Ovis aries: one gene and its partners. Each later gene encodes a partner of the first gene's protein in a complex. Links are inferred from orthologs where the notes say so. Each region holds a gene or a part of one and is shown in the gene's direction. Other genes may lie near its edges. The genes, in order: NUP107, CETN3 and NUP133.

The links.
Region 2: NUP107 (region 1) and CETN3 share a complex: the UniProt entries of both Homo sapiens proteins name them as parts of the nuclear pore complex. The link is inferred for Ovis aries from reciprocal best matches to the Homo sapiens genes NUP107 and CETN3.
Region 3: the proteins of NUP107 (region 1) and NUP133 are in contact, whole or in part, in a crystal structure (PDB 3CQG), measured with the Homo sapiens proteins. The link is inferred for Ovis aries from reciprocal best matches to the Homo sapiens genes NUP107 and NUP133. Residues at the interface, in NP_065134.1 of Homo sapiens: Leu875, Gln876, Ala878, Asp879, Val881, Ser882, Ser883, Glu884, Tyr889, Lys894, Leu897, Arg898, Leu900, Leu901, Gln902, Arg905, Ser908, Leu909, Leu912, Asp917, Pro918, Leu919, Tyr921; in NP_060700.2 of Homo sapiens: Trp937, Leu938, Ile941, Asn942, Gln944, Leu946, Tyr963, Ala965, Lys966, Lys968, Thr969, Leu970, Gly972, Leu973, Lys975, Leu976, Ala977, Leu979, Ala980, Ser981, Asp982, Ile992, Glu999.

The regions. Positions count from the first base shown.
Region 1 is NC_056056.1:151,262,253-151,265,904, reverse strand, and holds part of NUP107 (nuclear pore complex protein Nup107), read left to right. Parts: intron 1-67; coding exon 68-180; intron 181-749; coding exon 750-852; intron 853-1,439; coding exon 1,440-1,600; intron 1,601-2,213; coding exon 2,214-2,339; intron 2,340-2,718; coding exon 2,719-2,832; intron 2,833-3,652. UniProt on the Homo sapiens protein: Plays a role in the nuclear pore complex (NPC) assembly and/or maintenance. Required for the assembly of peripheral proteins into the NPC. May anchor NUP62 to the NPC. Involved in nephrogenesis.
Region 2 is NC_056058.1:87,600,239-87,603,990, reverse strand, and holds the start of CETN3 (centrin-3), read left to right. Parts: upstream 1-1,359; 5' UTR 1,360-1,486; coding exon 1,487-1,503; intron 1,504-3,482; coding exon 3,483-3,618; intron 3,619-3,752. UniProt on the Homo sapiens protein: Plays a fundamental role in microtubule-organizing center structure and function. As a component of the TREX-2 complex, involved in the export of mRNAs to the cytoplasm through the nuclear pores.
Region 3 is NC_056078.1:1,013,872-1,017,523, reverse strand, and holds part of NUP133 (nuclear pore complex protein Nup133), read left to right. Parts: intron 1-134; coding exon 135-269; intron 270-875; coding exon 876-1,046; intron 1,047-2,743; coding exon 2,744-2,899; intron 2,900-3,174; coding exon 3,175-3,245; intron 3,246-3,652. UniProt on the Homo sapiens protein: Involved in poly(A)+ RNA transport. Involved in nephrogenesis.

The DNA.
Region 1 (3,652 bases):
GATTATTTAAAGAATATTAGTGTGAATGAGTAATTTCTTGTTTCTGTCCCTTCAAAAAATGTTTTAGATTTGGATATTGCAGCTATAACAAAAACTGTAGTTGAGAATATTCGAAAGAAAGATGATGGTGAATTCAGTCATCATGACCTGTCCCCAGCCTTGGATACGGGTACTACCGAGGTAATATGAGGGTACAAGAGGTGTATTATGTGACTGAATAATCCCTCGTGTTATGCTTTTTCTAAATGTCTACTTTAAAATACTCTGGCTTCTTTATTTTTTAAAGAGTTTTTCTTTGTCAGCCAAGTTATAAAAATTGTCAGCAAACTTAAGTCTTGTGTAAGGAATTGCTTAGTAGTAGTTTTATGTTAAAGGAAGCTTCTTTAATAGTAAAAACCTGAGCATTGAATTTTTACTCATCTGATTATTCTAGATACTTGATCAGTTAACTAATTTTTATGTAGTTTAATTGTTCCTTATTTTCAGAAAAGAATAGAAAGTTTTATCTAGGAAAGAAAAGGTTGTAGAATAGCACTTAAAGGAATCAGATAATTAAATTGGTGGCACATCAGATATAGAGCTATTAAATGTGAAAATAAACCAAGAAAAGCTATTTTCTTTCATAATTTTGTGTAACCTGAAGGAAAATAATCATTAGTAGTACAGATGTAAGCCAGTTCTATTAATGTGTAGAATATCTTAGGGAAAAAGCACAATTGACATTTCTTTTTTTCCAATTAAATGAATAGGAAGACCGATTAAAAATTGATGTAATTGACTGGTTGGTATTCGACCCAGCACAGAGAGCAGAAGCACTAAAACAAGGCAATGCGATAATGAGGAAATTCTTGGGTATGCTCTATTTTATATTATTTTTACAAAGTTTTTTTTTTTCTGTTCTTAAATTTTGTTGTTTTTCTAACCCTTCCAGTAGGGTAAGGTACAAAATACCCACTTTTATGGCTGATATTGTGAAACAAAACATATTTAATAGTGACTTACTATGTCCCACTCAATTTTATATATAATCTCAAGGTTTTGAAAAATGGAATTTTTTTTTAAGACATAGTATGTGAAAGTAGCTGTGGGATTTCCTGGTGATCCAGTGTTTAAGACTCCGTGTTCCATTGCAGTGGATTTGGATTCAGTCCCTGGTTGGGGAAGTAAGATTTGGCATGCTATGCAGGGCAGCCAAAAATTGAAATATATAATGAAAACAAAAGTAACTACATTTAATTAATCCTTCATGTGACTGTCACACTGAAATAAGGAAAAGCCCAGCCATTAGGTAGAAAGATCCCCCAAACCTTTAAAAGAAGTACCTTGGGCCCTGAATGGTTACAGGCCACGGTGAAAGTTGTAGACTAATAATTTGACTCCTTTAGAAGCCACTACACAGAAATCCACGTATATTGAAAAACTATATGTCTTTTTCCCAGCCTCAAAAAAGCACGAAGCTGCAAAAGAAGTATTTGTGAAAATTCCTCAGGATTCAATAGCAGAAATCTATAACCAGTGGGAGGAACAAGGAATGGATAGCCCACTTCCTGCTGAAGATGATAACGCTATCCGAGAACATTTGTGCATCAGAGCTTACTTGGTGAGATTGTAGAGAAAACCACGAAGTGCCTGTCTTTATGATGACTTTCAAACCTGATTCACTCTCAAACCTTAAACTACTTTTTTGAAAAGTGGTGATTGACTTACTATCTTACCTCCCTTGTGACTGTGGGAATCACTGATCCCTAAAAACTTGGAAGTCCTGACCTTGTCTTCATGTGCAGGAGCCTCTAATCATTGTTAACCAACACACCATGTGTTTTCTTAAGATTCTTTGAATTCTTAACTTTAGCATTTCTGCTTTTGGCAACAACTGAAAAAAGCAAGATAATCTATATTATGACTAAAATAACAACATACTCATTCAGAATTCATTCAACAAATAATAAAGTGATTAGCTAGGTTTTAGGACTGAGTCTGAATTTCTTTGCTTCCCTCTGGAAGCTAATAGGTTCATCAAGGACACAGATAAGCACGTGAATATCACAAACAAAATACTTATTCACTGTAATTTTTTTGTATAAAAAAGAAATATTGAACAATTTTATTTCTTACTACTGCAAAATTCTAAGAACCAAATTTTTAAAAATTGTATTGAACATATGTGAAAAGTTTTCATTTTTTGTATTTTTCTATTTTACTTTACATTTTAGGAAGCCCATGAAACCTTTAATGAGTGGTTTAAGCATATGAATTCAGCTCCACAAAAACCTACTTTGACAACTCAAGCAACTTTTACTGAGAAAGTGGCTCATGAACACAAAGAAAAGAAATATGAGGTAAGTTAAATGTAGATGAGACATGTCTCATTGCATCTCAGAAATACAAGTCATATATGTAAGATCATTTCTTCAACAGTTATATTCCCATTATAAGAGTTGATCTTCCTTATTACTGTTATACTTTGAAGAAAGAAATCTGTTTAGTTACCTTTTTGTAGATAATTAACCAAACATGAAACGTACCTTCAAGTGACAATAATGTTCATTTACATGGTAAACATTTTAGTGTTTTATTGAACTGCAGTCTGTTGATGTTTATTTTGTATTTGGCTTACTGAATGTCAGTTCTTTAGAATGATGTTCCATATATGTACATCTCTGTACTTTGCAAATATATTATAGTCCACTATATATCTGCCTTATATCTGTTTTCCAGATGGATTATGGTATTTGGAAAGGGCATTTGGATGCCCTAACTGCTGATGTGAAGGAAAAAATGTACAATGTCTTGTTGTTTGTTGATGGAGGGTGGATGGTGGATGTTAGAGAGGTAAGCTCTGTGCATTGTTACAAGCTACATCTTTTTTTTTTAAGTTTTTTCTCTGAATAGGAGCAGTTACAGATCTTGTATTACCTTTGTACTATATTATAACTGAACATCCCATAATTTAAGTCTAACCTGGAATACTAGTTAGGGAATATATGAATGTCTGACTCCTGGGTAAACTATTTCTCCACATTTAATATGTTCAGTCAGTATAGTATAGTAAAATCTAATTTTTAAAAATTCTGGACCAAAAATCAATTATTCATGTATTCAACTCAGTCTGTAGAGGTGAAGATAAGTCTAGTAGAGTGAGTAAGACATACATAAAGCAGGGACTCTCACCTCTGAACTGCCCATTTAAATGACCTGGAGAACTTTTTAAAAAATACTGGGTTGATTCCCCTAGTGGCTAGCAGTGGGGAGAGGGAAGGAGGAGCAACATAGGGGTTGTGGGGTGGGAGGTACAAATCACTGGGTGTAAAGTAGGCTATGAGGACATATTGTACAACATGGGGAGTAAAGCCAGTATTTTGTAATAGCTAAATGGATTATAACCTTTAAAGGTTGTATTAAAACAAAACAAAAAAACCTTTTAATGAGTCCCCAAAAGATATGACAATTAAATACAATATGTGATTCTAAACTGGATCCTGTGTTGGAGAAAAAAAGATGCTATAAAGGACAGTGTTGAGTCATTGATGTTGGTATTATATCACTGTTAAATTTTCTGAAGTCATTAACTGCAGTGTGACTATATTAGGAAAAAAAATCCCTTTGTTAGGAAATAAACTCTGAAACATTCAGAGGTAATGGAACATGATTA
Region 2 (3,752 bases), on another chromosome or scaffold:
GTGTTTCTCATGATGTACTCTGCATATAAGTTAAATAAGTCAGGTGACAATATACAGCCTTGACGTACTCCTTTCCTGATTTGGTACCAGTCTGTTGCTTCTTGACCTGCATACAGATTTCTCAGGAGGCAGGTTAGGTGGTCTGGTATTTCCATCTCTTTCAGAATTTTCTACAGTTTGTTGTGATCTGAAAGTCAAAGGCTTTGGCATAGTCAATAAAGTGGAAGTGGATGTTTTTACCATCTTTACTTACCCAAATTTAGCTCATCCTTCTAGGCTTAACATATATGCCATCTCCTTCAAGAAGTCTTTCTTATACCTTCTGTGTTCTCTCTCTTCTCTAAACGTGTACATGTATCTCTTTATATTTATGCCACAGTTTTATATATCAATATCTTCCCTCTTCTGTTACTGGACACCTACTCTCTGGCTATTTCATTCCTTTTTGAGATTTGCAGTTTAGCTCAGTACTTTGCGATTTTTCACAGCAAGATTCCATTTAATGCAACAAATATCTACGGAGCAGAGGCATCAGACATTTACAACGAATCATACATTGTTTTAGGCACTAGGAATAGTGTTAAATGAAGGATATAAGCCTTTTAAGATTAGTAGGAGAGATGAACAGTAAAGATATTAAATGTCCAAGTGAGCTTTAAGAGACTTCGTTTGGTGGTGAAGATAACATCATGAGTATAAGCAGCTTACAGCACTCGAAAATAAAGGACAAAAACGAACAAACCAGTTCAAAGGAGGAATAGGGGAGCAAATGGCCCTTAGGTACAGCTTCAACCTTAAATAGCCTAATAATCCAACTCAGTGATTATCAAAATATAATCCGCAGTATCTGCTTCAGAATCATTTGAAGTTTGTATAAAAAAATGCAGATTCACACCTACTAGAAATTAGAATGAGTGATATTTAAATCTGCGTTTTAAACACACTCCCCATGTACTCAAACCATCCAAAAATGTACAATACAGTAGAGTCAAGTTTCGCAGACACAGTTCGAAAGCCGCTCCCTCCTTCTAGCCGGAGGAGAGCCTGCGGCGTATCTCATCCCTTCCCTTTCCACCGGGTCTCCGGACACTGGGCCACATGCCACAGCCTTTCTGGTCAGAAGCATAGCTCGCCACCTCCCACCTGAGTCCTAGCTTCTCTAGGATTGGGGTGGGGCGTGGGGGTGGGGCGGAAAGCAACAGGCCAATCTACAGGGGGAGAGGCGTAGCAGGGGATGCCGGCAGGGAGATCTATTTGATTGACGTGAAATAAGACCAATGAGAGCAGAGGACAAGTGACGCTTTCGCCTCAATGGGCAGGACGTTAGCGATTTCAACCAATCCAGCTCAGGAGTGTCTTGCTTTGTGGGAGGTTTTTGAGACCGCTGAGGGTCGTTGGCGTCTGTCGAACGGCTTGTGGAAGTCTTGCTGCTCTGGGTAGGGGGTTAAAATCGTTCTCGAGAGGAACGCCTCAGTCCGAAGAGAAAATGAGTTTAGCTCTGAGGTCGGTAATGAGGAGACGGCAGATGCACTCCACACCTCGCAGCGGGCCCCAGGGCGGTTGTGTGTGGAAGGGAAACAGCTGGGGGCCGAAGCGAGGAAGGGAATGCAGTTTGGGACGAGGGACGGGATCCTTGGTCAACGTTCCCGGGCCCAGACCCCTCCCCTTGGGGGCCCTGGTGAGCTCTGCACTTTAGCTGAGGCGGTCATTTCTGTCAGGGCACTGGCTTTAGACCGCCAAAAAGCCGGGCTGAGGTAGTCTTGAGGAGGCAGGGAAATATCGCGAGGTTTCAATGCGCGGTGTTTATGCGAGAAACCGGGAAACCAGGCCTTGGAGCATCCCTTGGTTCAGTGCCTTGTCCACGGCTTCCATCTCGGCCGACTTTCTGCTAACATGCGTGCTCAGTCGTTTCAGTCGTGTCAGACTCTTTGTGACCCTATGGGCTGTAGCCCGCCAGGCTCCTCTGGGTGTGGGTTTCTCCAGGCAAGAGTACTGGAGAGGATTGCCCTGCCTTCCTCCAGGTGATCTTGCAAACCTGCGTCTCCTGCATTGCAGGTATATTCTTTACCCACTGAGCCACCTGGGAAGCCCCCTACTAACATATTTACCCGTAAATTTTGGAAACAACGCAAAACCTCTCCTCTTTCTCCTGGGGCCCTGCAAAAGGGTATAATCAGAGGCCCCTTTTAGTGATTTTAGTTGGTAATCTCTTAGCTTTCCTAAATTTTCTGATTTTACTTTTCATTCATTTCCAACCTCTAACCCACTGTTTGTTGCTCCCTCTCCCAACCACAACTAAAAGTTTTACCTTAAAAGTGTTTATGTAGTTACGCTTCAGTAAAAAGGAAGCGAGTTCTGACGAGGAAATGAGGTCTACTGTCGGTGGGTTGTGAACTTTGGTCTGGTCGGAATCTTGGGAAGAGAATAACCCCCGGAGTTTCCAAGTTTTTGTGAATTCAGGTCTCTTGTGAAAGAAAGAGCTTTATCATAACCTCATTTGGTCATTTTCTAGTCATCTCTTGCCTTTTTAGAGTAGATTTCACAGAATTAAAGAAAAGTCAACTGGTTTTTACATTTTTAAAGTTTATAGAATTCTTGTTTCAAAGCTTGTACAAGTGTTGTAAGCCCCATATGAAAATTTGAAATGCTTATATTGGCACCTCTTAAGGAATACATTTCTAGTTTTTAGAGTAAATTACGTTTTGTACTTTAAGTTTTTTCAGAGTTTGTGACAAACTGTCTAGATGTACATGCTGAGATTTATGAGACAGTTGACTCTTCACCTTATATATAAATAAAATACCACAAATATTAAGTACTTTTTTGGTGTTTGATATTCGTGGTATGCTTACGTTCATTATTTTGGCTGATTTGTTAATATCAATGGGAGAAATTACAAAAAAGTGCCAGTTTAAAATGTGTAGTCTAAAAATACTAGTCTAAACTGTGCCAAAATAGTTTGTAAATTAATTGATGAATTAGATTTTTTGGCAATAATTTTGATAATTCTAAGCACTATGAAAGTAAACCTAATATATAGAGATCAACAATTGTGAATTGAATTCTTATTTTTTAAAACAGTCTGTATTGTAGAATGATGAGAATAAGTATGGGTGTTTGTTTTTTGTTGGGGTTTCTGACAGAACTGTTTCTTTTTCACAGTTCTTGTTTCTTCCACAGTAATATTAGTGGGAATGAATACAAAGCTAGGAAGAGGAAAAGCTAGGTCCTCATTTCTTTTAATAACCTTTTAAAACTGTAAAACTTTTCAGTTTTAGGGAGGTACAAATTTAAAGCAGCTTAGACAATGGATTGAGCAGGGCTTTGATTCATGTAAGGAAATTTTTTATAAAATACTTTTTAGAAGTTTAAAACATTCATTGGCTAATTTTTTTGTTGCATTTTTGGAATTTTATCATTTAGAAGCATATGACAATAGGATTAAAGTGGACTAAATAGACTTTTTTCTTATCATTCCATAGAAATGACCTTGTAGTAGACAAAACAAAGAGGAAAAAAAGAAGAGAACTCTCTGAAGAACAGAAACAAGAAATTAAAGATGCTTTTGAACTATTTGACACAGACAAAGATGAAGCAATAGATTATCATGAATTAAAGGTAATACACTTAAAATATATCTTTTCTATTAAAACATTTTGCATTTTTGTCCACTGATTAAAAATGCATTTCTAAATATTTTAATTGAACTGGTTTTGGAAATGTAAACCATTTTAAACATTTACTGTTAAGCT
Region 3 (3,652 bases), on another chromosome or scaffold:
TGGAAAAAAAGAATTTTCCCCCTGATTTCTGTTCATGAGTAATGCATTGCCCTGGTTTCTGTATGTCAGTGTCGTCAGACCGCCGCTTTGGGCTCCTTTTCTTGTGTTTGCTGAGTGTTATGATCTTGTTTCAGGCTGTTACTGTCATGGTTGCCACCAGAGAAGGATCCATCCGCTATTGGCCAAGCCTTGCGAGTGAAGATACCTACACAGAGACGTTCGTAGATCTGGGAGGTGATAAGACCTATAGTTTCCTAACAGCAGTACAGGTATACGATGGATATTCTTCTATATTTATTGGGAAACTGTCATTTGGCTTGGAATTCAGGTTTGGCTGACTAAAAATTTGTGATTTCGAGCAGATCATACAGGTAGGGCTGGGAGAAGATCAAAAAGGAGGCAAGGAAAGAATGTAAGAGTCTAGGATTTGAGCACTTAGGCCGAGGGAAGCCCTTCTCGTGGGACTCTGACCTGTCAGTGGAGCATAGTAGCCAGTGGTATTCGTTTCTGTCAGAAACATCTTTAGAGAGTGATTCAGAAACTCTTAGAGGAAGACTGGTTTGCTAATGCATATTCTGCTGGTTTACCAAAGAAATAAAATCTGATTCTTAATTTGTTGAACCTATGTAATGTGAACCTATAACTTAAAAATCAGAATTTAAAAAAAGTAATTAAAAAAATGGCTCTGAAGTTTTTCTGTGTAGTATTAAGTGAATGGATTCATAAATTATTTTTTAAAAATAGCACTGTTCTTTTTTTATTCTTTAGATTTATGTTGAGGTACAGATAATTTCCCTCGAAGCATATCAAAGTGATTTGTGTTCATTTTCTTTTCTTAGTCTTAAATACTTAACTAATTTCACATTTGTTCACAGGGAGGAAGTTTTATTTTATCCTCATCGGGGGGCCAACTAATCCGCCTGATACCTGAAAGTATAGGAAAAATCCATCAGCATGTCCTGCCTCAAGGACAAGGCGTGCTCTCAGGAATTGGTCGGAAGGTTTCTTCTCTTCTGGGAATCTTATCTCCTAGTAGTGATCTCATTGTAAGTTGGTGAAATGACTGTTTTACTAGCTTGTTTCTTAATGAAATCAGTAAGTTGGCAGTCTCCTATGAAGTTAGCGTTGCCACTGTATGTACAGTGGTGTATGTGAGATGAAAACTTTGATCTTTCAGTGAGGCATTTTTATTATGATGATTAGATGAGTTCATACTAACCCTCTTGCATCCTCTGTAACATTAATTATTCTTAAGTTTTATAGATTATCTGGTAAGCTCATTTTTTGAGTTAAAACTATGATGTAAAGTTATAAATGTGTTCAAGGATTAGTTTTGCTTTCTAGACGTAACCAAAAGTGTGCTTTCCACCCCCGAGCCTCCAGCTGTCTGTGTGGATGATGTCTGCTGGGCTGTGGCTCAGACTCTGGAGTAGTGAGTGAAGATGCTGGGAACTAACATCTTCAACTAACTGCACTAACAGAGCAGTGGGGCATCTGCTCTGCCAGGAGCCCTGTGTGTGTTATCTCCTGTAATAATTGTGATCCGTAATATATAGAGCTTCATGTCCCATTTGTGTTAAATAAATGGGGAAATGGCCTCAGTGAGGCTACCAAAATTGCCCAAAGTTCAAAACTGCTCAGCGACAGATGCATGCCCACATGTGTGTGAACTGAGAGCACCTTCCCCCGCCCCCGACTTTTCTGAAACATTTTATTTTATAGGCGTATAGCTGAGTAGCAATGCTGTGGCAGTTTCAGGTGGACAGTAAAGGGGCTCAGCCATACATACACGGGTAGCCATCCTCCCCCAGACTCCCCGTGCACCCAGGCTGCCATGTAACACTGAGCAGAGCTCCCTGTGCCATGCAGCAGGTCCCTTTGCATTAGCCCTGCTAAGTACTGCAGTACCACATCCTTTATGAAGTGGGGCTCTTCCCTCTGATTTCAGGTTGCTGTCATTATCTGCTTCCTTAAATGGTCTTTGAACGTAAGCTTTAACATGTCTAGAAGAAAATTGCTCGTGTTCTCTTCTCTCCTATTGACTTACAAAACTCATTTTTCTTTTGACCTATTTCTAATGGCACTGTCACCTTTTTCAGAGACCCAGGTATAAAATCCTGGTTGTGTGTGTATGTGTGTCTCCCTCTCTTTATGGGGCAGAATATTTACCAGCTTCTCTAGATTTGAGACATAGTGACAGGAAAAGTGGAGACAAATAGGGTTTTAGTTCAGCAGTCACATATACGCAATTTTTAAGTTGGGTTAGATGTGTTCTTCAGAAGCAAGGGAGATGAAGTGATATAAACGTGTGGAACTACACACACCCCTCCAGATTCCTTCTCCTGTAACAAATCTCTTGTGCTCACAAGCTATGGATATTATCTCCTTAGCTTACTTGGTTTACAAACTGACATTCAAGACTATGCTGTGTGTGAGCTTCAGTTTTGCTTCTTTCCTAGCTATAATCCACATTCTAGTTTAGCAGGACTGTGTTTTGTTCTTTAAAGAGCCTCTGACTTTCCTGCCTCCCTACTCTGCTCTTCCTGGGCCTTCTGCCTGTGAAAATCCTCCTTACTCTCAAGGTCTATTTCAGGATCACTTCTTCCCCTGAATCCTAAATGAAGAATTCTGCTAGGATTACTAATCAAATAGCTATAAAATATATGAATTTTTAATTTCAGGAAAATCATCACTGACACTAGAATTTAATAATCTATAAACTTTTTTTCTCCTCTCCATACAGCTTTCAAGCGTCCTCTGGGATAGAGAGCGAGCGAGCTTTTATAGCCTGACAAGTTCAAACATCAGTAAATGGGAATTAGATGATTCTTCAGAAAAACAAGCACATAGTTGGGATATAAATAGAGTCCTGAAGGAAAACATTATTGATGCTATCTGGGTAAGGAACAGTAACATTCATCTCTGTCATTTTTATTTATATAAAATTGCTAGTTCTTTTAGTAGAACGCATTTCAGTCATCAGATAAGCAGAGTATTCAATCTTTAGAAGTATTGGGACTCACTGGTTTACTTAATTTTTTAAATGCATACATTATTCATTCAATAAGTTTGACTTACTGTGGATGAGGCAGTTTAGTAGGTGCTGGGGATATAAAGGTGAAAAGAAATGATTTCTATACTGAAGGAGCTTACATTGTTGATATTTTCATGTAGGGATCTGAAAGTAACTATGAAGCTATTAAAGAAGGGGTCAACATTCGGTATTTGGATTTGAAGCAAAACTGGTAAGCAACTCATTTGTCATGCAGAGCATAGGTAGTTGTTTGGAAAAACAGATTGGTGTTTGTTATAGAATAATAAGCACCCTTGCTGTCTGTTCTGATGTGTCTAACCCTAATCTTATATTATTCCGCCTTATTGAATCGCTTTGTTCTGTCTGGCAGTGCTAATTCGTTTCAGAAGTGTTGGCAGTTTTCGGCCTTCCACTGAGTGTCCCATTAGCTGTCTGCCCTTGTTAGGGATCATCTGTTCTGCTCGAATAGCTGGAGCTCCTGAGAGCTGCCTGCCCTGCTGCTGGTTGTGTTCCATGCTGTCGTCTCTGCTGACTCAGTGGAGGTTCTGGGGGCTCTTCTCCAGTCCTTTTTTTGTTGCTGAAGGAGCTTTGGCCTGAGTTTGTGGCTGTGTTGAATAA